2 linked regions of the Ovis aries genome follow. The protein of the gene in region 2 interacts with the protein of the main gene of each other region in a pairwise test. Links are inferred from orthologs where the notes say so. Each region holds a gene or a part of one and is shown on either strand. Other genes may lie near its edges. The genes, in order: STX3 and STX5.

The links.
Region 1: the proteins of STX5 (region 2) and STX3 interact in binary tests that used the Homo sapiens proteins (3 or more experiments, as listed by UniProt). The link is inferred for Ovis aries from reciprocal best matches to the Homo sapiens genes STX5 and STX3.

Annotation. Positions count from the first base shown.
Region 1 is NC_056068.1:81,555,741-81,571,325, forward strand, and holds part of STX3 (syntaxin-3), read left to right. Parts: intron 1-4,292; coding exon 4,293-4,392; intron 4,393-5,119; coding exon 5,120-5,194; intron 5,195-6,261; coding exon 6,262-6,329; intron 6,330-9,122; coding exon 9,123-9,231; intron 9,232-10,260; coding exon 10,261-10,334; intron 10,335-10,436; coding exon 10,437-10,571; intron 10,572-12,237; coding exon 12,238-12,474; coding exon of another isoform or gene 12,475-12,571; 3' UTR 12,572-13,799; coding exon of another isoform or gene 13,800-13,883; 3' UTR 13,884-15,585. UniProt on the Homo sapiens protein: Potentially involved in docking of synaptic vesicles at presynaptic active zones. Apical receptor involved in membrane fusion of apical vesicles.
Region 2 is NC_056074.1:37,667,370-37,683,660, forward strand, and holds the start of STX5 (syntaxin-5), read right to left. Parts: upstream 9,614-16,291; 5' UTR 9,473-9,613; intron 8,798-9,472; 5' UTR 8,779-8,797; coding exon 8,554-8,778; intron 7,586-8,553; coding exon 7,515-7,585; intron 7,351-7,514; coding exon 7,295-7,350; intron 7,178-7,294; coding exon 7,107-7,177; intron 2,474-7,106; coding exon 2,357-2,473; intron 2,280-2,356; coding exon 2,223-2,279; intron 2,065-2,222; coding exon 1,983-2,064; intron 1,513-1,982; coding exon 1,406-1,512; intron 1,238-1,405; coding exon 1,116-1,237; intron 1-1,115. Other genes in the region: TEX54 (testis-expressed protein 54), read right to left, coding at 9,915-10,120, 10,228-10,294; WDR74 (WD repeat-containing protein 74), read right to left, coding at 10,481-10,660, 11,163-11,219, 11,321-11,466, 11,801-11,856, 11,949-12,049, 13,343-13,444, 13,611-13,757, 13,890-13,965 and 2 more. UniProt on the Homo sapiens protein: Mediates endoplasmic reticulum to Golgi transport.

The sequences.
Region 1 (15,585 bases), on a different chromosome or scaffold from region 2:
CAAATACATTATTGTGCGGGGTAATGTCAGAACACAGACAAACAGCACTTGAGTGTTTCGCTCCAGCACGTGTATCTCCTGCTCGCCCTGCCCTTCCCCGGCTTTGGTTCTCTGGCACATGCACGGAAAGGAAGTTGATTGCCTGCGTCTGCTGCCATGAAGCACTCAGAAAGGCACCTTTGAGAAAAACCAACGCTTCCAAGAAAAGACAGACAAAGTTAGGAGAAGGAAGAGACAAGCTCTGCGGTTGGCCGCTTGCCCATCCTGAAGTCCTGGAGGGGTTCTGCGATTTCCTTGGTGCGCCGACTAAATCGCTGGATTACTCAGAGGCCCCGAAGCAGCTCCAGATGGGGAGCCTACTGAGGCCAGAGGGAGGGGCAGCTTCTGTGAGTGGAGGATGAGTGAGGCGGCATTGGAGGCCCCTGACCTGGGAAGCTCTGTGGACAGGCTGAGGACGGAGCCTGGGGTCCAGTTCTCCCATCTGCTGGGCCGTCTAGTCAAGTGTCTAGAGTGACTCTGAGCTTGGGGTCCAACAGTCTCATCCTACCGACTTCCTACCTTGTCTTCCTGCCACTGAACAGACTTTGAGTCAGGATACTCTTCACGTTATGGAATAATAATATTCTGGGAGATATTTTTCGAGTCATCCAGTCCTTAGGAGTCATCAAAACCTTACGCTTGTGACTTCTTTTTTTAAAAATTGGAGTATAATTGCTTTGTGATGTTGTGATAGTTCCTGCTGTGATCAGCTGCCTGGGCCCATGTGTCCCCTGCCTGCTGGGCCTCCTCCCCCCCAACAGCGCAGCCCAGCCCTCTCGGCCGTCACAGAGCGCTGGGCTGGCCCCCGGGCGGCGCCGCGGCTTCCCGCCCACAGTCTGTCACGCATGTCGTGCCTCCACGTCAGCGCTGCTTACCCAGTGCGTCTCGCCCGCTCCTTCCCCCGCTGTGTCTGCCTGTCCATGCTGTGTGTCTGTGTCTCTGTTCCTGCAAATAGGTTCATCTACACTGGTTTTCAGATTGCACATGTATGCATAGGCTTGGATTACTGTGACATTGAATGCTTTGCCTTGGAGACGAACATAGATCATCCTGTCGTTTTTGAGATTGCATCCAAGTACTGCATTTCGGACTCTTTTGTTGACCATGATGCCTACTCCATTTCTTCTGAGGGATTCCTGCCCGCAGTAGTAGATACAATGGTCATCTGAGTTAAATTCACCCATTCCAGGCTATCTTAGTTCGCTGATTCCTAGAATGTTGACATTCAGTCTCACCATCTCCTGTTTGACCACTTCCAATTTGCCTTGATTCGTGGACCTGACATTCCAGGTTCCTATGCAATATTGCTCTTTACAGCACTGGACCTTGCTTCTATCACCAGTCACATCCACAGCTGGGTATTGTTTTTGCTTGGGCTCCATCCCTTCATTCTTTCTGGAGTCATTTCTCCACTGACCTCCAGCAGTGTGTTGGACACCTACTGACCTGGGGAGTTCCTCTCTCAGTGTCATATCATTTTGCCTTTTCATACTGTTCCTGGGGTTCTCAAGGCAAGAATACTGAAGTGGTTTGCCATTCCCTTCTCCAGTGGACCACATTCTGTCAGACCTCTCCACCATGACCCGCCCGTCTTGGGTGGCCCTACCCGCCATGGCTCATAGTTTCATTGAGTTAGACACGGCTGTGGTCCGTGTGATCAGATTGGTTAGTTTTCTGTGATTGTGGTTTTCATTCTGTCTGCCCTCTGATGGAGAAGGATAAGAGGCTGATGGAAGCTTCCTGACGGGAGAGAGACTGAGGGGGAAACTGCGTCTTGTTCTGACGGGCAGGGCCGAGCTCAGTAAATCTTTAACCCAATTTTCTGATGATGGCTGGGGCTCTTTCCCTCCGTTATTTACCTGGGGCCAAACTATGGTGGAGGTAATGAGGATAATGGCACCTCCGTCAAAAGGTCCCATGATGCACTGCTACACTCAGTGCCCCCGGCCCTGCAGCAGGCCACCGCCGGCCCACGCCTCCGCCGGAGACTCCTGGACACTGAGGCAAGTCTGAATCAGTCTCTTGTGGGGTCACAGCTCCTGTCACCTGGGTCCTGTTTGGGCTGGACTGGATGAAGCACAAGCTGGAATCAAGATTGCAGGGAGAAATATCAGTAACCTCAGGCATGCAGATGACACCGCCCTTAGGGCACCCTTATGGTGAAGAACAACTAAAGAGCCTCGTGATGAAGGTGAAAGAGGAGAGAGAGAAGTTGTCTTAGAGCTCAGCGTTCAGAAAACTAAGATCATGTCATCCGGTTCCATCACTTCTTGGCAGACAGATGGGGAAACAATGGAAACAGTGAGAGACTTGATTTTTGGCTCCAAAATCACTGCAGATGGTGACTGAGCCATGAGATTCAAAGACGCTTGCTCCTTGGAAGGAAAGCTATGGCCAACCCAGACAGCATATTAAAAAGCAGAGACGTTACTTTGCCAACAAAGTCCATCTAGTCGAAGCTATGATTTTTCCAGTAGTCATGTATGGATGTGAAAGCTGGACCATAAAGAAGGCTGAGCAGTGAAGAATAGATGCTTTTGAACTGTGGTGTTGGAGAAGACTCTTGAGAGTCCCTTGGACTGCAAGGAGATCCAACCAGTCCATCCTAAAGGAGATCAGTCCTGGGTATTCATTGGAAGGACTGATGCTGAAGCTGAAACTCCAGTACTTTGGCACCTGGTGGGAAGAACTGACTCACTGGAAAAGACCCTGATGCTGGGAAAGATTGAGGGCAGGAGGAGAAGGGGCCGACAGAGGATGAGAGGGCTGGACGCCGGCTCGACCCCTGGTCTGGGAGACCCCACGTGCTGCGGGGCGGCTGACCCACTTGCTACACTCCTGAGCCTGTGCCTCGAGCCTGGGGCCGCGGCTGCTGAGCCCCGGGCGCGGCTGCTGATGCCCCTGCGTCTAGAGCCGGTGCTCCGCAGCGAGAGACGCCCTGCCTTGCGGAGCTTGCACACCACAGCGAAGACCCAGTGCAAGCAGAAATACGAGTGAATATAAACGAGGACTCGAGTTCCTTCCCCCGCTTGCTTTGCCAGTTGCAGAGCTGTGATCAGGTTTTCTTTTCCTTTTTTTAAAGAAGTGGATTGTTCATTGGAGGAAAGGGCTGCTGGAAGCTGCATCGTGAGTTGTCTTTCCGTTGCATCTCAGGGGCTAAGACCCTCCTGTGTGGCATCTTACGAGGTTTCTGTTTGTTGACTGTGGCCGTGTTGGCATGCCCCTCACTGTGGAGGGCAGGCAGGTGGCTGTGGAGGCTTCGAGACCTCTTCCAAGCCAGCTGTGCCCTGCTCATTGCAGCCACCCCCGGAGGGGCTGTGGGGCCGGGGCACCTGGTGCCTGTGAAGACAGAGCTGAGGCTGAGCTTCACACGCGGGTGGCAGGGTCCATGCGGGTCAAGGCACGCCTCCCGGTGCTTTCTTTATATTCAGTTGGCTGCACCGGGTCTTAGCAGCAGCGTGCAGGAGCTTCCTCAGCTGTGGTGTGGACGCTCTTGGTTTCAGCCCGTGGGCTCTGGTTCCCCAACCAGGGATTGAACCCAGGCCTCCCGCACTGGGAGCGGGGTGTCCTAGCCGCTGGGGCTCCAGGGAAGCCCCGGGACTTTCCCATGCACACCTGGAGCTGAGGAGCCTCTGCACGGGCGGGCACGCTCCAGGGTCCCGACGGTCGTCCAGGGCGGTCAGCTGGTCGGAGGCGTGTCCAGGGGCGCTGGGCAGTCCCGCCGGGCAGCCGGGCTTCGGCGCTCTCCTGCCTCTCCTGGGCGGCTCTCCTGCCTCTCCTCTCTCTCTCTCTCTCTCTCTCTCTCTCCCCCCCCCCTTCGCTGCGTCTCACTCCGCCCGTTCTCTCCCTTTCGCTGTCTGCCTCTCTGCTGTCTCCCTGCCTCTCCCTCTTGCTCACTGTGGCTCTGGCTTCTGGAGCAGCGGAGGCCCTGCCGGTGTCCTGAGCCTTCCCTCTGACGCTTCCTTGGGTTTTCCTGGCTCTTCTTGACTCCAGCCGCGACCCCCCTCCGAGGTGGGACCCCCCTCCGAGGTGGGCGGCCGGTGGCTCCTCAGGGAGCGGTGAGGCCGGAGCCTCGTGGACGGCTGCCGGCGCGCCCCTCCCTGGCTGGATGGGGTGGGCCGGGCGCGCCCTGGGGCCGTGGGCCTCGGGAGGCTTGCCCGGGGCCACCGCCTCCCTCCACGAGTGCGGCGCTGGGCGCGGAGCTCTGCTGGTCTGCGGCCAGGCTCCCCCTCCTGACGCCTCTCTGCTCACAGATCGAGGAGACGCGCGTCAACATTGACAAGATCTCCGAGCACTTGGAGGAAGTGAAGAGGCTCCACAGTGTCATCCTGTCTGCGCCCATCCCCGAGCCAAGTGAGTGCCGCGCGGGGCTCAGGCGCCCGCCGGGTCCCGCTGGGGGTCGCAGGGGAGGGCGTGTTCCCTCAGGCCCGCGTGCCCGCGTGTCACCGCCGCCCTCCTCCCCCTCCCCTGCTCTCACCGCCCTGTTGGCGCCTGTCTGTTCCGAGGCCGCGCCGGCTCTCCGCCGCAGCGCGCGGGATCTTTGCTCTCTGTTGCAGCATGCAGACTCTTTAGTTGGGGCCTGTAGGATCTGGTTCCCTGACCAGGGGTCGAACCCGGGCCCCCTGCATTGGGAACGCGGAGTCTTAGCCACTGGACTCCAGGGACGCCCCCGTCCCCTCTGCTTTTCCTGGCTCCACTGGGCCAGACTCTCGTCTCCTTCCCAGCGAGCCCAGCCCCGTGGCTGGCGGGGACTCTTGCTGCTGCCGGCGTGCCTTGCCTCTGCCCCCGCCTTGGGTTTCTGGAAGGCACACCTGGGCTGTTTTCTCTGCTTGGAATGCTTCCCCAGACCCTCCTTTTCTTCCACGAGGTGTTTTTATTCTGCGGGTCGAGGGCAGGGTGCCTGGAAAAATGCCTTTAAAAGCTAAGCTCACTGCGTTCTGATGATGGGTGTCTGGGGAGCCCCTGGGGATGCGTACTGCCCTGGACGCCTGAGAAAGCACTACGCCTCCTCTGCTGATTGTTGTCGCTGACAAAGTGTTCAGTCTCTGCTAACTGATTCTGCCGGCCTTTGTTTACCCAGAAACCAAGGACGACCTGGAGCAGCTCACGACCGAGATCAAGAAGAAGGCCAACAATGTGCGGAACAAACTGAAGAGTAAGGGGCTAAGGGAGCAGCCAGCCCCCCAGCCGCCCCGCGTCTGGGGTCCAGCCCTCCTGCGGCAGAACACGTCCTCATGGGGGTGACGTCGCGCGTGGCCTCTTTGCTCGTGATCTGGGCTCCGTCTTGGCGTGACGGATGATAGCCCCAGAGCTTTGTCTGTGGTTGAGTGAGGCGAGAACTGAAGCCTGGGGACGGGAGCGGTGTGTGCTTTCAGCTGGTGGATGTCTGGTGGCTCGGGTCCCTAAACTCAGTCCCTCGCCTTTTCCTGGTCCCGTTTCCTCCCCCGGCAGCTGCGCACGTGTGAGCAGTGCTGTCAGTGATACGAGGATGCCGGGCAGATCGTCTGCAGGCGTCTCCTGGGGGCCAGGTGTGTCACCTCCCCCCACGCCCCCTCCCACCCCTCAGCTGGGGCAGCGTTCTGTGAAGCCGCTGTCGCAGATTCAGTTCCTCTGGGAGCCCAGAAGCCTCCTCAGGTCCGAGGCTGTCGTCTGCATTCTTGCCCCACTTACTGTCTTTGGTGATGAGTGCGCGCCGTTGGTCAGGGAGAGAAAGTGGCGTTGCTGAGCCTGAGGTATCATTTCTTCGCCCGCTTTGGACCGTACTGCTTGTTTCCATGGGGATGGAGTGGAGGTTTCCGGTGGCCGCTTCCAGTCCGGCAGTGAGCCTGTGCCCCTGTCTGCGTGTTCGTGTTTGATTTCCATGTTAGCATTGCGAGGGGGGCCCTGCAGCGTGCCCATTGTACAGAGCGGAGACCAGGAAGGCTGAGCGCTCGCGGCTTTTCCAGGTGGCGTGCCGGGATGTGGCTGGGAAGGGACTTGAGCCCGGGTCTCTCGGTGATGGGGACTCGTGCTGTTAACTGCTGCGCTGGGGCATGGCCGAGTGAGACCCTGCAGTGAAGGTGTCCTGGGGCTCAGACGTGAGCCGGGTGTCGAGACAGGACCTGCCTGCCGTTGGTCTCCTGGGCCGGTGTGTGTGTTTGAGAGAGGAGGCTGCATCGCACGGTGAGTTTCTTGGAGGAGAGCAGGGGCTGCGTTGCTAGAATAAGCTTCTCTCCCATCCAGGCATGGAGAGGCATATTGAGGAAGACGAGGTGCGGTCGTCGGCAGACCTTCGGATTCGGAAATCCCAGGTGAGATTCTTGGCCTAGCAACCGTCTATCCCAGTCTTTAAAAATTTTTTTTCCCTTAGCTGTGGAGTCTTTTTAAATTTTAAAAAATACTTATTGAAGTAGAATTGATCACAGTGTGGTGCTTCAGATGCGGCAAAGTGATTCGGTCAGGACATACACACACGCACGTGTGTCTTGCTCTTTCAGACCCTTTTCCGTTGTAAGTTATCACAGGATATCGAACATCGTTCCTCGTGCTGCGCAGTGACCCTGTTCCATATATGGCAGTGTGTATGTGTAAGCCCCATACTCGTAATTTATTCCCCCACCTCCCCTTTGGCAACTATGAGTTTGCTGTCTCTCTGTTTTGTAAATAAGTTCATTTGTGTTGGTTTTTAGACTCCACATGCTTCATACCAGTGATGTCGTATGACATCTGTCTGTGCCTTGCCGCGTGTAAGTGAGAGACTCTCCGGCGCGTGCACGTCGCTGTGAGTGGCCGTATTTCATTCTTTTCTCGCGGCAGTGTTGCGCCGCGTCTTCTTTATCCACTCATCTCCTGATGGACACAGATTGCTCCCATCTCTTGGCTCTTGTGACTAGTACTGCGGTGAACACTGGGGTCTGTGTATCTTTTCTAATTAAGAGTTTTCATCTTCTCTGGATCTGTGCCCAGGACGGGGGATTGCCGGATCGTATGGTGGCTCTGTTTTTAGTTTCTTAAGGACCCTCCCTCCTGTTCTCCATGACACCATTTACGCTCCCACCGACAATGTAGGAGAGTTCCCTTTTCTAGCTGTGGATCTCTAAAAACAGACAGACAAACAGACCTTATTTGGAACTCAGTGTGAAGAGCTGGTAGCGGGGAGCTGCCCAGGTCAGAGTGGGGGACAGGGCTGAGACCAGCCCTGGTGGCCCCTCTCGCACCGTCCTCTCAGGAGGCGCCTGAGGTTCCCAGAGCACAGAGGAAGGTGTAGTGAGCCTCCTTGGTTTACAGGAGAGGAAACTGAAGTCTGCTCTCTGGAGACTGTTGGTCGTCGGTTGTCCAGCTTGGAGTCAGGCTGCTTGGCGGTCATGAAAGATACGACCCTTGTCACTGAGGAACGGGCATGACGTTCCAGTGCCACAAGGAAGCTCTGACATAGGACCGCAGGAGAGAGGGTAGGAAGATAGGACCAAGTCCTGTGCTCCCAGCATCGGGAGAGCCTGGAAGGACTGAGGTCCCAGAGGAGGCTGGGCCCTGGGTGGGCAGGGTGTCAGCGCGGGCAGGCTCAGGGAAAGGTTGTCCTTGGAGGCATGTGGGCAGGAGTGGTGTGTGTAGAGTAGGGGTGGTATAGGGTGGGTAGGGGCAGACGTGAAGAGAACAGTCTGTCTAGAGACAAAAGTTTGTCACAGGATAGTGGGGGTTGCGTTTTTGGTAGAGAACCCAGTGCCATATTCCAGGGGCCTTCGACTGCGGTCTCGGGAGTTTGGATCTGATCAACTAGCTGGTATGCATTTACTTTGGGTTGCAGTCTGTTAGGAGGATAATCTGCTAGCCATTTGAAAACTGGCTCAGCGTGGGGCACGTGGGTCTCTCATTGGGTTTTTGCAGTGATTTTGGTCTGAATTTGCCTGGTGATGGTGGGTTTTAAAAAAGTGTAGATATTGGTGATTTGGCAAAGGAAAAACCTTTGTTGGGTCTTGATGCTGAGAAGTGGGCAAGGAATAAAAATGATGATGATTTGAGTTTAGGCACCAGGGCTGTTGATGGAAGCATTGAGTCAGAAGCAAGAAGATTTGAAGCAGGAAAAGCTGGGTGATCCGTTTGAGTAAGAACGCAAGGGTCTTTGGATGTGGAGGGGAGTCGGGCAGGGCCTCTGGGATTCCCAGAGTATCTCCTTTGGCCTCAATTACTCTGTGAGTTCAGCAAGACAGGTTAACAGATAACTGAAAACATGCTTTGAAAAGGTGAGCTGGCTTTCCCCGTGGTGTGAAGTTAGGAAGCCAGAAACACCGAGTCTTGCCCCTGGCCTTTGGGGTTTTGTTTTTCATTTCTTTCACACTTTTGAAAGATCACTTTCCAGTTATAGTTCTCACACAATCTTGGGTATATTCCCCCTGCTGTAGAATGCATCCTCGAACCTGTCTGACACCAGGACTTCGTGCCTCCCCTCCCGCACGCGTCTGCCCCCTCTCCGCCTCCCCGCTGGCCGCCGCCAGCTCACTCCCCGTGTCTGAGTCTGCTTCCTCTCTGTTACGGCCATAGTTCGTTGTGTTCTTTAGGTTCCACATATCAGGTGATGTTATACAGTACTTGTCTTTCTCTGACTTGTTTCACTTGGCATGATACCGTCTAGACCAGCCGAGGCTGTCACCAATGGCAGGGTTTCACACCTGACTGCTGGGTAGCATTCCCTGTGCGTGCGTGTGTACGTGTGTGTGCACCTTCTTTATCCAGTCCACTGTTGATGGACGCCTGGGGGGCTTCCGTCTCGCGGCAGCTGTGAGTGATGCTGCTGTGAACACTGGGGTGCCCGTATCGTTCTGAATTAGTACTTTTTACACAGATATATACGCACATATTTTACACATGCATATATTTACACACACACGCACACCCAGGAGTGGAGTTGTTGGGCCACATTGTAGCTCCATCCTCAGTTTCTGGAGGAATCTCAGTCCCCAGTGGCTGCACAGTCTGCCTTCCTGCCAAGAGCTGCCCTAGGCCTCGCGGTCCCGGGTCTGGTGCTGCTGTGGGCGAGGCTGGGGCCGGGGCGCTGAGCCTGTGCCCCTCGCTCCTGGGGGCTCACAGCCTTGACCTTGTCCCCGCAGCACTCCGTCCTGTCCCGGAAGTTTGTGGAGGTGATGACCAAGTACAACGAGGCCCAGGTGGACTTCCGTGAGCGCAGCAAAGGGCGGATCCAGCGGCAGCTCGAGATCAGTGCGTGTCTGCAGCGCGTTCTGTGCCCCCTCCTGGCCTGTCGGGCGCTGGTCTGTCCGGTCGTCAGGGCCAGGGAGACGGGGCCTCCAGGTGGCTTCTGCCTTCCCTTTTGTGCCCCAGCCAAGGACGGGGCTCACGGCACTGCCGCCGCCTGGATGTCGTGTCTTAGGCTGAAAGAGGGTGGCTCCGTGCTACCAGGTCCAAGTGTTGGTTGCCATGGGAACCAGCATTTCCACATCCATGGAGGGAAATACCTGCTTCCTGGGGCTCATGGCATCTTTGCTGCCTCTTTGACAGCAGGGAGTGGTGCAGGTTGCCCCGTTTGTGTAAAGGAGTTAACACAGCCTTACCCTTTAGGAATCGGTAACTTTAGGAGTAACTTTAGGAATCAGTAGCAGTCAGGGCTCCACAGCGCAGAACATGCTCTGAGTGCAGGAATTAAATGGACATGGTCGCAGGCAGGGAGGGCAGGCCGGCCAGGGCCTGGGGACAGGGTGCGCTTGGGCAGAGCAGGGTGGGGTAAGTCGGTTGGAGGGAGGGCTCACCTGGGAACTGGCCCTTTGTCCTGAGGACTTTGGACCCGGTGGCAGAGTGAAGGGGGCCAGGAGATGTTCCAAGCTGGAAAGGAATATAATCCGACACAGACTTCAGGAGGGTAACTGCTGATAAGGTTGAGGCTGGATGGGGTTAGGGGAGACATCGGAGAAAGGCGAGCAGGCTTTAGAGGCCACTGTGCTCCCACTGGGATTTCCAGGTGGTTCAGTGATAAAGAATTGTCTGCCCATGCAGGAAACACACGAGGCATGGGTTCGATCCCTGGGTTGGGGAGATCCACCAGAGGAGGAAATGGAAACCCACTCCAATATTCTTGCCTGGAAAGTCCCACGGGCAGAAGCCTGGTGGGCTGCAGTCCACGGGGTCGCAAAGAGTTGGACACAACTGAGCGACGGAACATGGCCGTCTTCAGGAAGCTTTTGAAATGATGAGCTTTGATCTTCTATCTGATGCTCTCCTTCTTTTGTTATAAAGCCGGCAAAAAGACTACCGACGAGGAGCTGGAGGAGATGCTGGAGAGCGGGAACTCTGCCCTCTTCACCTCGGGGGTGAGTGATGGTGCGGGGCTGGGGGGTGGGAGGCCCGCAGGGGTCCTGGGGGCCGTGGCGGGCCTGGGGGCCGACGGTCCATCTCTCTGCGGCCCACTGTAGATCATCGACTCTCAGATTTCCAAGCAAGCCCTCAGCGAGATCGAGGGCCGGCACAAGGACATCGTGAGGCTGGAGAGCAGCATCAAGGAGCTTCACGACATGTTCATCGACATCGCCATGTTGGTGGAGAACCAGGTGAGGCGCTGGGTTCCGCGGGGGTGGGGAGGGGGCTTCCTGAGGAGGGCGGGGGGGTCCGAGAAAGCCACGGGGGGGTCGAGTCGGGAGGGAGAAGCATCGGGAATTGGTGTAGCGGAGTCCCAGAATCCCAGTACCCCAGTAGAGGAAGGCACCTGGGATGCTGACGCTTAGGGGGTTGCCTCCTTGTTATTCCTGCTGGTTACTCTGGCCTGGAAGTCATGTCTATGTAACGTGAGGTGTGAAGTGCTCTGTAATGTACCTGTTCCCTCCGGCCTTGGGATCATCATCATTGTTAATTTTTATTAGTGACGCGGGTTCTTAATGGTGATGCCTTAAAACACTCTTCTGATAGGAACTATCAGCGTTTCACTGGTGACGCTGAAAACATGGGGTCTTTCCCCCAGTTTATGGTGGAAAGTTAGGTGTCACAGAGATTTTTGTGTTTTCCCACTTTTGCTTTTTCTTCTGTATGAGTTTTTCCAAAAATGTTGACTGTTTTTTTTTGCTGAGGAACAACAAAAGCAATGAAGGGACAGCAAAAATAATATCAACGGGAAAACTCGAGTCCCTCACGGAGCCTGCTCCGTTCTGGGCCAGCTTGCCCAGGGACGGACGGCCCTGCTCCCTGCCTGTGGGGTCAGTGTCTCGGGTCCCCTGGCCCCTGCTTCTTAGGGTGCAGTTAAATTCACCGCCAGGCAACGGTGTGGAGCCACCCTCACCGTGAGCTCCCAGTGGCTCTGCCACCTGGAAAGGATCAGAACCTGCTTCCCGTGTAGCAGGAATCCTAATGGCGCCCGAGCGCCACGTGGCTGGTTTTGACACGTTTCCTGCTCTGGGCTCGGGCACCTCTGCTCCATCCCCTTTCGCCCTTGGAGACCGTTCCTCCCGTCCCTCCATCTGCACTCTTGTTTTTCTCCCCACACTGCCTTGCCGAGGAACTGGTTTGAGATTCAAGTGATGGTAAGTGCCGTTCTCTCTGCAGAAAGCCAGGGGTTGCGTGGAATGAAGGTCTAGGTGGGTGGAGGGAATTCCCATCTTAAGATGCACAGAAATCAATTGGGAAGACTGAACTTCAGGTCAGGAAGTAACAGCTGGGGAAAGGTCGGGAATCTTGCTGAGTGACCATGATCTCTTAACCAGATAACTCAGGTAAAACCAACGTCTTGTTACTTACAGGGCCTGGGGATACCTTAGAGAAAGCAAGCGTCCCCACCTCAGCTGTTCACTGAGCACCTGCCGTGCACCAGGCACTTTCTGTAGTAGTGGGCACTTGGTCCAGACTGAGCGAGCTTGGCTCACATCTGAGTGACCAGGAAGAGGCCAGCCTTCCTGGCAGCGCGAGAGATGCGTTCTGGCTTCTCTTCTCACGTTTCATTTTAAGAAAAAGGGGCGCGGGGCACCCTTCAGGATATTCCAGGTGTCTAGACCACGTGCTCCTGGTGTGCAGGGTGCTGTCTGGCAAGACATAACTGAGTGGACATTTCGAGGCCGGGTGGCCGCCGCCTCGGCCTGGGAAAGCACCGGCCACCACGGGGAGGTGTGCAGGGTTACCCCGTGGAAGGCCGCATGGGCAGGTTTCCAGGCGCTCCCCATGGCCTCGCACGCGAGCTGGGACCGTCCCGGGGTGCGTGTCCAGGGTGTGACCGGACTCTGTCCTCCGCAGGGGGAGATGTTAGATAACATAGAGCTGAATGTCATGCACACGGTGGACCACGTGGAGAAGGCTCAGGAGGAGACCAAAAGAGCCGTCAAGTACCAGGGTCAGGCCCGGAAGGTGAGCCCCCCGCCACCCTCAGAGGACAGGTCCATCGTGTGCGCTCTCTCGCTGTCTCCTCCCTCTCCCCGTCTCTGTCTCTGCTGCCGCCACCTCTTGCATCCGGGGAAAGGGCGCCATGATTGACCGTATTGAGAACAACATGGACCAGTCCGTGGGCTTCGTGGAGCGGGCCGTGGCAGACACCAAAAAGGCGGTCAAGTATCAGAGTGAAGCTCGCAGGGTGAGCCCCGTGTCTCGGCGGGACCAGCCGGCTTCTCCTCTCCCTGGTCGCCCCCATCCATGTCCCTGAGATCCCCCTGCCTTCCCTCTGTCCAGCCTCCTCCTTCATCAGCTCTCCCTAGGGAATAGCTCCCCTTCCCTCCCTGGCGTGTCCCGCATGGATCTGGCTCCCACCATCTCCACCCGAGAGCCCACACTGGCAGGCAGTTCTGCAGGATGGACCCGTCACTGCCCAGCGTTGCTGCTGCTCTGCTAGACAGAGCTCTTGGCCCATCCGGCATCACGCGGCTCCTCTGCCCTTTAGGAGCTTCCTCTGCGCTGCCTTCCACTCGGCCCACACCTGTCCTCTTTGGTCTCTCTTCCCTGCTGTGAACCCGGCTGTGTGCTGATGGCTGTGTCAACGCTCAGGGCACACCTGTGTTTTCTACTTGCTAGATCAAACAGTTGAGAATCACTTTAGTCCCTGGCCACCTAGGAAGCGTAGGAACCTGGGATTCAAATTCGGGTTCCAGCCCGGCTCTTCCCATCACCTCATCCTGCTCCACTGCCTGCCCCCACCTTTAGTTCTGGTGTCCCTGTTGCTTGGAGCATCTCTGCCCAGTCACCGCAGTAGCCAGCTCTGGTGGGGTTTGCTTTTTAGCCTGCTCTTTTCTGACTTTGTGCTCTGATATTTCCATTCTTCAGTTCTTTTTCTTCCAACTTGTTGCTTGGGCAGGTGTCTAGGGAGCTGGGAAGTTATTTCACATGATGAATCCTGTCCTGTTCACAACAGGACCTGTACTTTCAGGCCCTCAGTCACTGTCCTGGGTTTGACAGGTGGGAGTGTTCTTTGGGGGAGAGATGGATGGGAATTTGCATTTAGGACTGTGTCAAATACATCTTCATACTCCCCTTGAAAAGGAAAAGCTCAGTCCCGTTATACCTTGGTTTACTGCTGCTTAGAGACCCCGTGACGGTTGCGGTTACGTCTGTCCACACGTGAGGGCTGCAGTGTGAGCTCGGAGCTGAAAGAGGCTCCGTATTTACACCTGCTGGCACTGCTAGTGCAGAGGCAACTTAACAGGAGGTCCCAGCAGAGCGTCTTTACGTAGGGATGTCAGCTTTCCATTTCACTCTATCTGGGTCGAGAAGATGCTTCCGGTGCAGAGGTGGGTTTTGGATGGCTGACTGCGGCTTTTTGGTGGTTTGTAATAATGACTTGTTTTTATTTCTCTTGTCCCTCTCTCCAGAAATTGGTAATTATCATTGTGATAGTAGTTGTGTTGCTGGGCCTTTTAGCGTTGATTATCGGACTTTCCGTTGGGCTGAAGTAAGGGCGGCCGTGCTGACATGTAAGTAAAGGGAAGGCTCTCGGGACTCTGGACCGGCTCGCTCTTGAGAACCTAGCCTGGGATTTCCGGTCCTGCGTCTCCTCTCCCGGCTGTCCGCAGACACGCCGAGTGCTCACACTGTCAGTCCTGTGCCTGCTCTGACCTCCGTCTGGTCCTCTTCTTGGGTCCTGGCTGCAGCTGGGCTCGGTCTCTCGTTGGTTTCTACCCCGAGGGGTCTGGCTCTGGTCTTGTCGATGTGTTCCTCGTTTCCCGAGCACCTTGCCTTCACTCCCGGTCCCGAGCAAGCCTGCTCCTCAGCTGGGTGCAGTCTCCAGCCGGGATCCGGGGTATGTCCTCCAAGCTCTCGCTGTCTTTCAGGGCTCTTGGGCTTTGCCTTCCCTTCCTTTCCTTGTAAACGGAGCTTTGAGTCAGGGTTCATGGCTGTAGGGCTGTGTTAGTGGCTGACTGGCTGGATCTCCAATCGCTAAGGTGTTTTGAGTGTGCAGTTGTGCCAACACCTAATACAGGCATCATTGGCTCCTCACACCACCTTCAGGAGACAGGCGCTGTTATCATCTCTGTTTTATAGGTGAAGATGCTCAGGCTTAGAGAAGTTAAGTAACAGGGCCAAGTTTGAGCACACAGCTAATAGTGGACCTAGGGGAATTCTGTCAGAGCTACTCTTCGTAAAACAAGGTGGCCATTTATCATCGTCTGTAAAGTCTAGAGAGCCTCAGAGGATGGCGACTTTAAAATTTAGGATATTAATTTGTAAAAAATCTGGTAAAAACAATAGAGCTGGCCACTGACTCAGGGCTTCATGTATGTAGCCACAGCATGGCACAAGAGACCTGTTATTGGGACTGCGAAGACTTCCGAGGCTTCTCAAGTGTTTTTCTGACTAAAACATAGCATTATGTATGGTTAAGGACAGACTGGTAAACGCTGAAAAGGTGAGCGGAATTAACTTTTAATATTATTGCCAATAATCTTATGGCACGTTCACACACTCGGATGAGGTTTTACATCATTCAGACTATGTTATCAACAGTTTGGTACCCAGTCACAAGGTCACAAGCATCATTTCTCAACACTCAAATCTCTTTGGGACTCTCATGTTCAACAAGATTGTGACTATACTCTCAATTATTCAACATGTTCCCAATGTTGGAGGTTTGCTATTATTGTTTTGCTATGACTAACAGTATGATTAACTTTTATAATGTTTTCCTCTTTCTTACAAATTCATGGAAGGTGGGTTACTGCGGTAATAGATACACAGACGTGATAGCAGAGCTGACCCTTCACTTCTTGCCTGTTTGCCTTTTTTTCCTTCCTCCTCCTCCCATGTGACTAGAGGATCTCAAAGTCAGATTATTTTTAACCCTAAACATTCAACTTGATACATACATCCACTAGGTGACTGATCTCGCATAAGTAATTAACTGATTTACTTTTTTTCCCTCCTGGTACTGGGACTCTAGTCCTTGACATTTTTTTGTTTGTAGAATTTCGTTCTGACGCTTCACAATCCCTCTGGAAAGGATATTAACATTAAGAAAAGGTATAATAGTCAGTGTCTCTCCAAATCCATGGATGAAAGATGCCTTCCAAATTCACAGGGCCCCTCACCATCCCTAATTCCAGGAATTCAAAATGTAAATCATTTTGTAAAATGAGGAGGCAGATCAGTCCATTGTTTTTA
Region 2 (16,291 bases):
AGATGCAGTGGCTTCTTTGCTATCCTTTAACTCAACAGACATATTCCTGCCTGAAGGCCTTTACATAGGCTCTTCCCTCTGCCTGGTACTCTTCTCCGTATATCCATGCAGCAAACTCCCTCACTTTCCCCCAGTCTTGGAAGGATGTCATCTTCTTAATAGGGCCTACCACAGCCATCCTTATTTAAAATTACAACTTGCTCCTCCAAACCTAGAACTCCTGATTAATTTACCCTACTCTGCTTTTATTTATGGATTTATCACTGGTCAAAAATATACACTGGACCATTTACTTATTACGTATATTCTAAATCATCTGCCCTACTATGATGTACATTCCACGAGGGCGGGGATCTTTGTCTCTTTTGTCTTTGGCTGTATCTCTATGACTGACTGAATGCCAAGCACCAAAGAACAGGATCAGATAAAATGCCTTGTGCAGTAGCAAGGGTACCAGGGACCAGAGGGGCCTTCTGTGGGTTGGCCCTGCCTACCTCCCTCCAGCCTCATACTGCACTTCTCTCTTCCTGTTCATTGCTTTCCAGCTCCACTGGCCTTCTTGATTCTTTAATAAAGTAAGACTGTCCCATTGTATGGCCTCTGTTCTGACTGTCCACACTGCCTAGACTACTCTTACCCTTTCCTTTGAGTGTTTGGATCCCTCTTGTCATTCACGTCTCTGCTTCAATACAAAGCCTTCAGAGCAGCCTGCCCTGCCACCCAATCTGATATTCCTCCTCTGTCACTTTCTCAACACTGCATCCATTTCAGTATTAGCCCTTATCACCACCTGAAAATTTCTTCTCGATTCTTTTTAAACAGTTGTCCTTACTCACTCTATCGAATTCCATACTACAAAGTAAGTTTCACAGAACAGACTTAACTGTTCTACTCATCACCGTATCCCCAGCGCCTATGACAGTGCCTGACATGGAACAGGTGCTCAATTAATACTTGTGGTGTGGATGGAGACAGGTGAACTGGACCTTATGTGTGGACAGGATTCACTCTTCTCTTCCAAAGGGCGTTAAGCTGTCCCTGGGGACCTCTAGGATGCCAATCCACAGGGAAGACAAGGCTTCTGGTTTTGAGATTAAAGAGAGAAAGTGTCTCACCTCTGAATGGTTTCTTCCTGTTCCTTAACCATGTGTGCCAACTGCTGGAAGATGGAGCCCAGCTCAACAATTGTGGACTCAATGTTCTGCATGGTATCTGCCCGGCTCTGGATGTAAGAATCCTTCAGAGGAGAGAGAGCGTACATGAACACCAGGAGCTTCTGAGGGTGGGTCCTGCCTCTCTGGGGCTTTCCAGTTTGCCATTCCACCCACAGCACATTCCAAACACTTGCTTGTGACCACACAAGAAAACAGGGGAGCAACTCCTCCCTGCCTCAGAGCGTGGATACCTGCTCGTCAATGAGCTGCAGCTGCTGGCTGGTCCTAGAGTCCATCATGTCAATGGCCACATCCCCAGAGGCTCGGGACTCCGCCCCCAAAACCACAGCACCGCCCCCTGTGGGGAAGAAAGACAGCATGGCACTTCTTAGCAGTTAAAAGGTTCAAAGCCCATATTCTCTGGATTTGAATCCCAGCTCTGGCACTTACTAGCCTTGTGACCCTGGACAAGTCATTTAACCTCTCTGAGCCTCAGTTTCCTCACCTGTAAAATGGGGGATAATGACAGTTGCTTTCTCAAAGGGTGGTTTTGAGAATGAAATGACAGACTGTGAATATAATGACTAAGTGGACCAAAAATTTAAAAAGCTCATTCTTTTGAACATGACTGGATTCACCCTCAACAGGGAGAATGCTGGAGACTAGGTGTGGACCATAGATCCCAGGCATCAGGAGTGACCTCTGAGAAAGCCTAGCAACTTCCTTGACCCTCCGCTCTCCTACCCAACCCCTGCCTTAGGGAGATACCCTCAGACCCAGAGTCACTAGGCCTTACCCTCAGGGCTCCCTGACTTGCCTGTGACTTACCCAGGTGGTTGGGGGCAAGGGGCAGGGCTGATACAGGCGCCCGGGAGAACTGCTCCCGCCGGCTCCTCTGCTGCTTCAGGTTCTGGGTTTGGGGAAGAAATGCAAAGGTCCTGAGGCCTCTGGAAAGCGGGCACATTAGATTCCCCCTGCTGCCCATGACACTGTTGCCCTTGCCCTTCCCACTGCCCTCTGGGGCCCTCATGCCCAGATTCCTATCCCTCCTACCCAGCTTCTTCTCACCTCTGTCCTCACTTCTAAAACTGACTTGAAGTCGTTGGACATGGAGGCCAGTTTCGACTAGAAGAGGAGGAGAGAGGGTCAGCCAGAGAAGACAACGCCTCCTCCCTTCTGCCGCCCCCTCTCCCTGGTCCCACCTGCAGGGAGACCACGATGGTGTTGGAATGGGTTTGCAGATGCCGGCCGCTCTGGCTGCCCTTGGCCCTCACGAAGTCCTGAAGCTGGGCGATTTGTTTGTTGAGGCTATTGATGTCCTGGTGAAAGAGCCAACGGAAAAACAGTATCAACCGGGGGATGGGGGGGGGGGGGTCCTTAGCCAGTGCCTTTCCCACATGGACATCGCTGGCAGGGATGGCAGGACGGACATACTAGCAGGGGTGATGCTGTCTCAGTCAGACCAGAAGGGCCTGCTGGTGCAGTCCAACCTCTGGAGCTTGCTCTGGCTCAGTCCTTGAAGAGTAGAGCCGGAAAGAGGTGAAACATGGCCTCGTCCGTTTGTAAAGAACTGAGTTGCTTACTCCCTCCACCCTACTGCCCTACTCACTACTGTGAGGCCCTGTTCATGGCCACAGACCCCTTAAAAGGACAGAATCTCAGACCCAGAGCGTGCTGACCAACAAAGCATCTGTGCTGTACTCAGGAGATGGGAGGAGTCCTAGAAACATCAATGAAATGGTTTCTATATACACAATTCCTTTTAAAAAATTACTACTGCAGGGACTTCCCTGGGGGTCCAGTGGCTAAGACTGCACTCCTAGTGCAGGAGGCCCAGGTTCGATCCCTGGTCAGGGAACTAGATCCCACACACCACAACTAAAGAGCCCGTGTGCTGCAATGAAAATTGAAGAATCTTGAACTGCAGTGAAGCTGCATGCTGCAACTAAGACCTGGTGCAGCCAAATATATATATGGGCTTCCCTGGTGGCTTAGATGGTAAAGATTCAAGAGACCAAGGTTCAATCCCTGGGTCAGAAACATCTCCTGGAGAAGGGAATAGCTACCATGCCAGTATTCTTGCCTGGACAATTCCATGGACAGGGGAGCCTGGTAGACTTATACAGTCCATGGAGTTGCAAAGAGTCAGACACGACTGAGGGACTTAAACACACACACATATTTTAAATTATTTTAAATTTCTATTTTAAATTATTCTAATTAATATATTTAAAATTACTATTGCAAAAGAGTGAAAGGTGTAACTCATCGAACTTTATACAGGAGTTAGTAGCACAGCCAGGCTTTCTACACGAGGCCGGTGGATCCTCTGCTTTCCCAATCCTGCCTGCTGAGGGCCTCATAAAACAAGGGAGATGAAGGACTGACCGGGAGTGGCAGAGAAAGCTTGCCCCAGAGCAGCTAGGTCCAGGGCAGGACCAGAGGAGAAAGAGGAGGGGGAGGGGAAAGGGGTCACAAATAGCTCAAAAAATAGGCTAAAAAATACTAGATCAGGCAACTTCTAGAATCCCTCCAACAGTCCCCTGAATTAGTACCCCAGCCCCAAGGATTCTCGAGTCCCCTGGACAATTTCTGGTACTGACAGCCATGTAGCCGAAATTGTATTCCAGGTTTTCTCCCGTAAAATCTCCTCCCCCAGGAGCTGAGAAAAAGCCACTACTCCCCACTTTGGTGCCCAAGCTAAAAGCTTCTAAGTCACATATGGACAACTCTTTAACCCAACCTCTATGCAACAGCACAACGACAACCTTCACTGAGCGTTTACTATGTATTCAGACTGTGTGAACAGAACAGCAGCCCTGGGTTTGATTACCGTGCACCACACAACTTGCTAAGCAGCTTATGACTTTCTCTTCAACTTAACACAGAAAGCAACTCTTTATCCCCCACCTGCCCTGAAAAGCTATTCTGCCTTCCTCTGTGCCATTTTGGTAAATGGCACCACCATTCACCAGCTGCTCAGACCAAAAACTTAGCAAGTCATTTTCAATTCCTCCCTTCCCTTAATCTATAAGGAACCCACAAAGAACCCAGCTGATTCCAACATACGCTCTGAATATGTCCACTCATTTTCTTCTCTAACAAAGCCACTCTAGTCCAAACTGTCCTCTCTTGAAAATCGCCCAGAGCCTTCTAAGTGACCTTCCTTTCAGAGTCTGCCCCCAACAAGCCATTTTCTACACAACAATCAGAGTGATCCTCCAAACCTAAAACAGGGCATGTATGTCATCTCCACTCTTAAAATCTTCTAAGAGCTTCCCACTAAATCTAGAAAAGAGTCCACATTCCTCACCAGCTTACATAGCTATATGGTCTTGGTCTGCCCACTCCTCTGGCCTTACCCCCACTGGCCTCCTTCTCACTGGCTGGCTGCAGCCACACTGGCCTCTTCCACATGTGTCAAATGTATCAAAGTCACTCAGGCCTCAGGCCTCTCCCTTTGCTGCTCCCACTTTCTAGAATGTGCCCCCTCCGATCTTTGGATGATCAATTTTTTCCTTACCATTCAGGTCTCCATGTCCCTTCCTCAGCTAGGCCATCCCAGATCACCCCATATAAAGTGTCCCTTACCCTGAGGAGCTCACTCTCCTTATTTAATAGGATGTCCCACCACCTGAAATTTATTTTCTGTTTACTTATATACTGTTTTGGAGACGGCAATGGCAACCTACTCCAGTACTCTTGCCTGGAAAATGCCATGGATGGAGGAGCCCAGTAGGCTGCAGTCCATGGGGTCGTTAAGAGTCAGACACAACTGAGCGATTTCACTTTCACTTTTCAGTTCCATGCATTGGAGAAGGAAATGGCAACTCACTCCAGTGTTCTTGCCTGGAGAGTCCCAGGGACAGGGGACCCTGGTGGACTACTGCCTATGGGGTCGCACAGAGTTGGACACGACTGAAGCGACTTAGCAGTAGCAGCAGCAGATACTGTTTGGTTCACCCACTTGGAAACGAAGTTCCCAAAGGCAGGGATCACATGGGTCTTTTTTGTTGTTGAATCCCCAGAACCAGGCAGCCAAAAGTCACTCAGTAATGTGAGGGATTGAAAAAATAAACCAGTGAAGCCTCACAACAACCCTGCAAGGTGGGCACTATTATCATCACCTTTTTCTTTAAAAGGGGTGTAGCCTGCCAGGCTCCCCCATCCATGTGATTTTCCAGGCAAGAATACTGGAGTGGGTTGCCATTTCTTTCTCTAGGGGATCTTTCCCCTTCCTTCTCCAGGATAAGGTAGCTTACCCAAGGTCATATTATAAGTGGTGAGCCTGGGATTTGAAGTCTGTCTCAATCCAGTCAGTGGTTACCTATGCAATAATTCTCCAACAGGGACTTCCCTGGTAGTCCAGTGGTTAAGAATCTGCCTTGCAAAGCAGGGGACTCGGGTTCAATCCTTGGTTAATGAACCAAGATCCCAAATGGTCTGAAGCAACTAAGCCAAGATGCCACAACTACTGAGCACACACGCCGTTAACTAGAGAATCAGTGCACCATGAGGAAAGATCCCCCAGGACGCAGTGAAGGTCCCACGTGTCACAACGAAGACCTAATGCAGGCAAACACATAAATATTTTAAAAAGAGTAATAACACCACCCCAAGAGTTGATGGAACCCTCTCCCATTCAGCACAGCATCTCTTCAACATGTCTGCCCTTTGGCCTCTGCCATAATCATCTTCATATCGGACAACTGCACAAGCCTCTACCCTCGCCTCTCTGCCCATTCATGCTCCAGGGCATTTTTTTTCCTCCCACGGACATTCAATTTCTCACGTTATCCTTATTACATTATTCTGGGAAAGAAACAAATCATATCGTTAGAGCTGCTATACCAGTGTCTTGCAGACAGAACTGGAACCCAGGTTCTAACTGTCTTTGATTCTACACTCCTTTGCAAGCCCCACAATGGTCTTTAAAACCAGCTACCAGTCTACAATTTCAGCCTCATCTGCTGCCGATCACTCATGTGATCAACAAGCATTGAGCAACGACTACATGCCAGGGAATTCCCAGGTGGCGCAGTGGTAAAGAGTCTGCCTGCCGATGGAGGAGACACAAGAGACACAGGTTCGATCCCTGGGTCGGGAAGATCCCCTGAAGTAGGAAATGGGAACCCACTCCAGTATTCTTGCCTGAAGAATTCCATGGACAGAGGAGCCTGGTAGGCTACAGTTCATGTGGTCACAAGGAGACAGACACAATTAAACAATTGAGCACACTACACGCCAGACCCTGTCACAGATGTCTGGGATCCATCCGTGAACAAAGAGAAAGAAAATTTCTGCTCTTGTGGCATTCCCATTTGTTATTTTCTTTTTTGTCCAGGAGGTAAGTGGGAGGAAACAAACAACAGACACAGCTTTATAGAGACTGTTAGAATGTATCAAGTGCTATAAACAAGCAAGTAGAGCCAGGTAAGGGAGATCGGAGCTGGAGGGGCTGGGGCATTAAACAGCAAGATAGGCCTCCCTGAGCACAGGACATCTGAGCAAAGGCTTGAACTCTTCCCTTTTATGAGACATGCCGATGCGCACTGTTTCCTCTGTCTCAAATGTTCTTCTGGTGCCTCTCCACAAGCCTCGAAACCAGCTCCGTTTTCACCTCCTCGATAAAATCTTTCCAAGTGTACCCAGAATCTCGTTCATCTTTTTGTATGATCTTTTCTGTGCCACTTGCTGCCTATTCATTGTAAGTGTGAGTTTATGGGACTGGATACCTCTTCCAGACAATAAGCTCTTAAAGGCTGGTATCTGCCTCATAATGCTTGTGTGCTAAGTGTCCAGCTTTGTACATGGTAGATGACCACTGACACAACAGAGGAGTAGGATGTTTGGAGTTGGCTAGAGAAACTTGCTCTGAGACTCTAGAGCAAGGGAAAAAGATGGAAGTGATGCAACTGGAATGCCCGACTCTCCTGACCGCTAGTCGCTCACCTGTTTGATGATATAAGTTAGCTCCTCAATTTCCACTGCCTTATCGTCAAAGAGGGACTTGCGCTTTGCCACTGCAGAGACAAACAAGAAGCCACCACAGGTGAGGTCGGAGACCAGACTCAAGACAGTATGGTTCCTCAGCCCTCCGGTGTTCACTGCCCAGCTCTGAACGGTTCAGGAACACTCACAGATTGTCAGCTTCTCCAGCTTGGCAAATGTGTTGCTGAGGTCTTTCCCAATGCGCCTGCAAATGAGCACAAATGAGAACACTGTGGAAGGGAAGGAGAGGGCCTTTCCCACCTTAGCACCAGCACAACCAATCCCAGTCCTCGCCACCAAGGTCACCGCAGGCAAGACTACCTCTCCTCAGACACCAGCCAACCCACCACATAACTTCTCCCAACTTACTTGGCCATGAGGGTAAATTCACTGCGTTGCCGGACAGCACGCAGAGCCGGCTTGTTTGTCTGGATTCCATTCTGAAAGGCAACGTCAAAAAGTAAAACTTTAGTTTTCCCTCCCCACTGCCAGCTTTCACTATTCCCCAGGTATCCTCTAAACTCGCCCTCTAGCACTAGCGGCATCCTCTGCTGGACAGGCCACACAAAATGTGATGCCACCACTTACTAGAAGGGGGGTTGGGGACAAGTGACTTAAACCGCTCTGAATCTCTGTTTCCTCTTATGTAAAATGGAGACAATTCTACACATCTCCTTTTGTTGTTGCTAAGATTAAAAAACATAAGGGTTATAAATTATTTTAGCCAAATACCAGGTCCATGATAAGCACTGAATAAATGGTAACTAGTATTACCATTCTATTCCTCCAACTGGGGAATTGAGAGGATGAACAGGAAGCTCTTGGAGTGGATATAGAAGAGCAATTGTAAACAAGAACTGAGCAATAAAAATATTTAAAATCACAGTTACTCAGTTTCCACTTGGATTCAGAAAGTCTGGACCAAAGGAATCAAATTTTTTAAAAAAACACTCCCAGGTGATTTTATTAAAATTACTTTACTTGGAAAGTTTCTTTCATTTTACAGATATAAAAACTGAGGTCCAACTAGATTAACTTCCATGTTGTCACAAAGCAAACTTGGTAGAATTATACTGGAATGAGAATTTAAAGCGTTTGTCTCTGAGCTAAATAAAGGTTTTTTCTAGAACCTGTTCCTTATCCAAACCAAATATACTGTAATCACTTCTTGCCCTGAAGTATTCGTTACAGAATAGCAACCCTAGATTCCTGATTAAATAAAACAACAACAAAGTCTGGATCCTTGCCTCTAGATTAGCTAGCCCAACTTTTCTCTGCTGCTTGTTAGATCCTACCATCCCAAGCTGGACCAGGTCTCCATCAGGCTCCCCCAAGAATTACGGTGCTGGAGCATCCCCTCTCCCAGGTTTGAGTAAGACTCACTGCCTCTCCCAGTCCAGGTCCTTACCTGACGGCTCTGCAGGGACTTGCAGGCTGACAGGAACTCCTGGGTCCGATCCCGGCAGGACATGGTGTCGGGAGGGGGAGGGACCAGGGCCACTGGAGGGGGCAGAGGGGCGATGTCGCTGCTGCTACTGCCAGCAGTTGCAGGGGACAGGACCTGTGTCTTTGAGAGACCCAGGTAGACACCCTGATCCGTGTTCTTAGATCCGTACCGTTTCCGCGGGATCATTGAGACGCATAACCTCGGACTGTGGTGGAGGGGAGAGTGTCATTCCCCAGGCAGCCTCCTTCTCCACCAATCCCCCCGCCCCAACCAGCAGTTCTTCGGGGCCCCTCTGAACTTGGCACGGAGTTTCGAGCCCGAAGCCACACGCAGATCCTGGGACCGGCCCGCAGCTGACAGGATCCTGCTTCATCTGCGGCCCAAGCCGTCCCCCTCCTCAGACTCTTCTTCCAACTTGGTTCCGGCGGCCACAGCGCGGGCCGGGGCCCTGAAGTAGAGGCAGGGCCAGAGCCAGGTCCTGTGGCTCCAGCCCGTCCCGTGCAACTGCCCCAGGCTCTAACTGGGCCCTCTCGTATCCAAGAGTTCCTCCGACTCCTCAGGGAGAAACGGTGACGGACCACCTCAGAGGGACACACTTCGGTGGGCGGAGGGGGGAATCTCTAGGTGTTTATTTGAAGCAGGAAGTCCCACCCTCGCCTCGCCCAAGTCCCACCTTCTGGAAGTCTGCAAACACTGATTAGCTAACGCGGACGTCCTTCTTAAAGGGGCTTTTCCAATTGGACAGCGAGGTATTCGCTCACTCCGAGCCGGGCCGGCAGGACTTGCCCGCTTGGCCCTGGTTCCCTTCCCCCCGCCCGGCGCCGTCCCCGGAAAGAGCGGCCCAGAGCAGGCACGGCAGCCAGACCCTACCGAGTCCTACCTCCTTTTTGCCGCCTGCCGCCGCCGCCACTGCTACAATCTCCCAGATCGTCACCTCCTCCTCCCCCTGGAGCCGAAGCCGCCGAAACCCGACCAAAGACTAGAAGCCGCCACGTCACCCACACGTAACCCCACCCCCGGTGACGGGAAGGCGGTGCCACGCCTCTTAGAGCTCGGCGACCCAAGAGGCACGCCCCTCGACCAAAACGCAGGTGTTAATTCGCCCTCCCATTGGCTAGGCTACCCCTGTGGCCCCGCCCCCAAGGAACTAGAGCCGGGGCCCCAGGGGACTGGCCAGCCTCAGGGATGGAGCCTTAAAGAGCCCGCGACCCTGGTGGTGCCCGCGCTCTACGTGCCCAAAGCAGAGGCACAAGCGCTTAGGCAGGTACACGTTAGAAACTTTATTCTCTGAAGGCTGCGGAGGAGTGAGAACGGGGCTGGAGTCACCCCTTCTCCGGCTCCTCCTGGATCCTCTCCTGATCGCACTCCTGGATCCTACTCGCCGGCTTTGGATTCTGGACTGCCTGCCTCTTGGTTGACCGAGAGGAACCCCGACGGCTGAACATGGATAGCCGCCGCCACAGCACAGTGATCAAAAGACTTTCGTTCGACCTGCGATCCCGTTGCTCCACCGAGTCCGCATCAGTGCCTGTGAGGATGCGAGGCTGCTCAGTTCTAGTCTCCCTAGTCCAACCTCCTGGTGGTCCAGTCCCCACTCCCAGCTCCCTGGGCCCCCTGGTGTGTCTCCGGTCCCACCTTCTGACCCGGCCTCCTTGGCCTGCTCATCCGAAGTCTGAAAGTCCTTATCTTGGCAGCAGCCCATGGCCCCGCATGCGGCCCTGCACTCGGTGCCACCCACGCCAGCCGGCAGGTTCCTGGCCCTGCTTTTGTGACGTCAGATACCCCCACCACCCCAGCTCAGGGAGCCGCCACCACTTTCTCCCATCACAAAAGGCTCAAGGTCATGGTACGTTTTAAGCTGTTTATTTACAAAGTGAGCACAAGCTCTTCAGGAGCTGGTGGACCCAGGCCGTTTCTTCTTTCTCTGTCTGGCTTGGAGAGTGCCTTGGGTCTGCTCCCAATCGGGGAGCTTCCGCTTGGCAGCTGCCTCCAAGGAGGCCCAAAGTTCATCTGTCTCTGTGTCTTCTGAGGGCACCTTGCTGGGCTCCTGAGGCTCTTGCGGTTCATCCTGGTGAGTGGGAGAAGCCCTCAGGAGTCAGAGGTACAATAACAGACCCACAGGGAGGAGAATCATTCCTCCAGGCACCACCCCTTGTTTCCTGCTCCTAAAAACCATGCCCATCCATGCTCCTGGACTTCCTTGGTGGCTCAGCTGGTAAAGAATCTGCCTGCAACGTGGGAGACCTGGGTTCAATCCCTGGGTTAGGAAGATCCCCTGGAAAAGGGAATGGCTACCCACTCCAGTATGCTGGCTTGGAGAATTCCATGGACAGAGAAGCCTGGTGGGCTACAGTCCATGGGGGTCACAAAGAGTTACACATGACTGAATGTCTTTCACTTCACTTCATCCATGCTCCTATGTTACCCTTGGCAATGACCCTGTCAGGACTATACCCAGCAGATGGATGGACAGTCTCAGGTCTAAGTTCCAGCCGCTTCCCTTCCCTCTTCACAGAGAGATCCTCATACCTGTACCCTTAGCTCCCACATTCCCAGACCCAAGAGCTTACCTCCCAGTTATCCCTGCCTGACAGGAGGAGGCAGTTCAATTGAGATTTGAGATAAACCTAGAAGAGATGAGGGACCTTAAGGGGCCAAGTCTGCTGAAACAGAAATAAGAATGGGGGAGGGAGGAGGGCACAAGAGGCAGGAATGAGTGGTTTCTCACCTTATGCTCCAGGCCCCGTGGATTCCGGATCCTGTGTATCCTCAAGATTCTGTCCAAACCACAGGAGGCTAGTAGGGGCTTTGAAGGGTGGCACTGCAACCCTCGGACGCTGCCTGCCAGTCCCTTTAGACAGCCCAGCAGGCGCCCTGGAAAAAGGGGGCAGGTATCACTGCTAACTGGTCAGCCAACAACCATTTATTGAGTGTTTTCTGTTCAAATCTCTTTCTTTCACCATTTAATCCTCGTTTAACATAATGCTGACATGGCAGTTAGCATTAACATCTCCATTTTTCAGGTGAAGAAACTAAGGCACAGGGAATTGACAAAGTAATTTGTCCAAGGTCACACAGTTGGCAGAACCAGGATTGAACCTGGTTCTGGCACCTGAAAGAGGGCTCAGCAGCTCCACCGCCCCGTCAGGGGGGAATCCTGCCCTTCCTCCCCACCCCTGACCCCTGCAAGGCTCCCTGGTCTACTCACCTTGCCGGAGGTCAATTTCTGCCAGCTGCCCATGAGTATTCCCCACAATCACTGAACTGAGGAGGAGAACCAGAGAGACACACATGGGGTTGGTCAGCAGAAGCCCCCGAGTCCTCCCCAAGCCCCACTTTGCCCTCTACACACTCACTTGCCCTCAGGAGTGAGGGTCATGGCTGTCAGCGGGTACTCTCCGTAGGTGGCCTCAAGGACTGGCCTGCGCTGAGGGGAGGCTGGATCATAGACACGGACCTGGAAGAAGGCTGAGGCATCACCACAGCACCTTGACTCTGCATAGCCCCCTGGCACCTCTACATCTTCACTTCCCCTCATTTGTTGTTGTTTAGTTGCTAAGTTGTTTCCAACTCTTCTGTGACCCCATGGACTGTAGCCCACCAGGCTCCTCTGTCCATGGGATTTCCCAGGCAAGAATACTGGAATGGGTTGCCATTTCCTTCTTCAGGGGATCTTCCCAACCCAGGGATTGAACCCAAGCCTCCTGCATTGGCAGGCAGATTCTTTACCACTGAGCCACCAGGGAAGCCCCCCTACCCCATACACTGCTTTTACAATCCACTCTTTCAGAGAAACTTTCTCATTTGAAACACACCCTTCTTCTCTGAGTGCTGAGGAGTAGAGGAGAGCTGCTGAGGAACACGAACATATAGAGCTGAGAACAGAGGTTCCCCCAGGCTAGGAGCAGCAGCATCCCCATGGTCTGCATGTGTGAGCTTTCCATCTATACTCCCCTTTCATGATGCAAGAGCAAGCTGGCCCAACTGTCAGAGTTGCTGAAGTCAAACAGAGAAAAAAGTTAAGCCTGGACAGGAAGGAGAGAGGAAGCCCTCATATGTGTTCTGAGCAGAAGTGTATTACCAAGAGCAGACTTCAGTATGCAGAGCAGAGGAAGCAGGGCAAATGTAGCCCCACCCAGTCCTGCCTGGGTCTTAGAATTTCAAATTCCCTGGTGGTCCAATGGTTAGGACTCCGAACTTCCACTTCAGATTCGATCCCTGATCAGGGAAGTATGATTGCCACGCAGCGTGGTCAAAAAAAAAAAAAAAAGCCCAGCTGAAAAGATCCCCAGTTGGGCCTTTCCTATACAGCTGAGGAGCAGAGACCAGCCAGATATTACAGATACTAGAGGGTCATAGTTGGGTCCCAAAGCAAATTAGAGACTGCCATCAGGACCAGAACCCCGTTCTCTTGATACCCAGTCCATTTCTTCTCATAACATGGGCCCCACGTGATTCTACTATGAAGGGGACACTCCCTTCTTTCTTCCAGGTGGGAAGAAAAGGAAGAATTACAGTTCAAGCAACTCCTTCCTAGAATGTAGTAAGTGAAGGTCACTGGCTTAGCCACTCGGCTGAACACGCGGCTGGGGAAGTGGTCCTTCTTCTGGGAGCTCAGGGATGACTCAAGGATGGAGAGAAGAGTGGCTGTGCCAAATGGTGGGGACCGAGCCTGCAAAGAGCAAGCCTCCTGTTTCTCCAGGAAGCTGTATGAGCCCATAAAAAGTTAGGGGTTAGATGTGTGCCTTACCTGGTGGTACCCTGTACAGGTGACGAGCTTCTGTGACTCTGGGAGGAACTGTATGTCCTGGTCCCAGATGGGAACCCGCAGGTCGAGCCAATCATTCCGTACCTGGTGGGGTCGGTAGATAAGGGACAGAGCTGGGAGGGTCTCAGTGTGTCCCTTCCTTCTGCCCTCTGTCATCATCCCCTACAACCCTGCCAGTCTCCAATTCAAAATCAGTGGCCTTGACTCATGGGAATTCGGACCCAGGTCCTCTCCACCCACCATCACTCACGTTCTTGGCCCTGAACAAAGGCTCCTCAGACCCCTGCAGGTCCCACACCTTCAGAGCATTCTCCTTCCCACCTGTGGCAACGATGTGGGGGCGTGCTGGGTCTTGGCGCATCCTACATACCCCAGGGCCCACCCTCAGTTCCAGGAGCTGAAAAGAATGAGAGAGCGGAGATGAGAGTCACTTCCAGATCCTTAATCCTCCTCCTCCAAAGCCTTCATTGGCTCTACCCTGGGCCCCACCTTCCCCAACCATCAGGATCAGGATGAGGGGGGATCTCACTGGGTCAGAGGATGCCTCCTTGTCCTGGTCAGGCCAAACTCGAAGAATCCCAGAATCCACACATGTGATGAGGGTGCTGCAGGCAAAGGGAGGATAGAGTTAAAAGAGCAGGGGTAAATGGCATTCTCTGTCCCCAGTCGACCCACCCCCAAATTCATATGAACTAGACTCCCTCCTACCAGCCCTGTTCCTAAGGAAGCCTCCAGGTAACTCAGGTCTGGGCGGGGCTTGATGGCTGTTATTTAATTTCTCGTCAAGCTAATGGTTTACTGGTCTTATAAGTAAGGAAAGTGAAGCTACAAAAAATTATAAGATTTGCCACTTAGCTATAAATGTCAGAATCAGAGCTGCAATCAAGACTGTGATACTGCAAAGTCTTTGCTATTCCACAGCTCCACCTGGGGCACATGGCCCTGCTGGTTTTTCTTGATGTGGTCACCAGGAGTCAGAGCTCTGAAAGCACTGAATTGGGACTGCTCTGGATTTAGTGTTTGGTCAGAATCAAACACCAGCTTCCTCTCTCAAGTTCCCTGTTCTGGGTGTCAGACCAGACAAGCCAATCTCTCCCCAGGATCTGTACAGCCCAAGCCCTCTGCTTTTTCTCATATCTGCCCACCCTCCACAACTAGGTTCAGGCTCTGGGTTTTCCTGGGCTGTGGCAACAGTCTCCAATCCATCTCCACGTTCCTGCAGGCTCACAGCTCTGAACACAGTGTTTCCTGCTCAGAAACCAATCATGCCTCATTACCTACAAAACCGCAGATTGCTCAACCTGACACTTAAAAGCACTTTGCCTTAAATCCCAACTTACCTCGTTCATCTTATATTAAAATGCTTCCTCATAAATTTTTAAAAAGGGGGAAAAAAAAGTTTCCTGGGCTTCAACCCCCAGTTCAGTTTAGTCGCTCAGTTGTGTCTGACTTTTTGCGACCCCATTGACTGCAGCACTTGAGGTTTCCCTGACCATCACCAACTCCTGGAGCTTGCCCAAACTCCTGTCCATCGAACTGGTGATGCCATCCAACCATCTCATCCTCTGTCATTCTCTTCTCCTGCTTTCAATCTTTTCCAGCAGTTCTTTGTATCAGGTGGCCAAAGTACTGGAGTAATGCATATTCAGGACTGATTTCCTTTAAGACTGACTGGTTTGATCTCTTTGCAGTCCAAGGGACTCTCAAGAGTCTTCTCTTTAACCCCCAAATGCTGTTTATCTTCCCTGTGATGTGCCCTGTAGCCTCACACCAATCCTTGGCCTCTGCTCAAGCAGGAGCCTCCTTCTAGAATGCCCTTACTCCTTTCTCCATCTGTCAAAATTCTACCCAACCTTCAAGGCCAAGTTCAAATATTCCTCCTCCCCCGCTCCAGCCTTCCAGACTCACCTGTCAGAATTAACCTCACCAAACCTACAGTCAGCTCATAGCCTCTCTCTTCACCTTCAGAAGAAAACTAAGCCTGCAACCCAGCATTTCTTATTCTTTAGGAGCTTTGCCACTTTGTTAGTGGTTGTTAGCCCGCATTTAAAAACATATTCTAAACTTCCCTAGTGGCTCAGTTGGTAAAGAATCTCCTGCACTGCAGGTGGTATCCTGCAGTGCCGGAAACTGGGGAAGATTCGCTGGAGAAGGAAATGGCAATTCGCTCCAGTATTCTTGCCTGGAAAACCCCAGACAGAGGAGTCCAGCGGGCTGCAAAGAGTGGGACACGACTGAGCGACTAACACTTTTACTTTCAAACTATTAAATAACGTGCTCAGGGTCATCCAAAAGGTTATTATGCCAAAAAACAAAACTCTGGAAGTAGCGAACTCTATGATGGCAGATACTGTGGTTTACCTAAGCCTTTGGATTTTGCCCAGTGCCTATAAACAACCGAATAAGTGTTCCATAAATGTTTGTTATAGGAAAGAACGGACGAAGGCAGGAAAAACGTCCCTGTCACGCAGACCAGGTTCATGTCACCTCAGGATTGATTGCCACTACTCGGTCGTCCAGTGGGAGCCTCAACGCTCTCGCTACGACCTGAGCGTTTCTGCAAGGGGTTTGGTCTTACCCGTCGACCTGGGCGAGGCCTCGGAACGTGCCCTCCCCTCCAGGACATTGCCTCTGGCCCTGGAACCTGCCTTCCTCGGTGCTGAAGTGCTTCACTGTCCCATCGGCACAGCCCACTAGGATCTGCGGGCAGAGGAGCACAGGATGGCGAGGAGAGCGAGGCGGCCGCGCCCCAGACTCCCAGCTCCGACTCTCAGCGGTCGCTCACCTGTGTCTCGCCATCCGCACCCCAACACAGGGCGCTCACCGCCTCTTCGCGCCGGGGCTGTCCTGACGCCGTGAAGTTCGCCGCCTGTTTGCGCTGAAGGTTCACTCCTGCGGGACACGGACGTCAGTTGAGTCAGAATAGCGAAA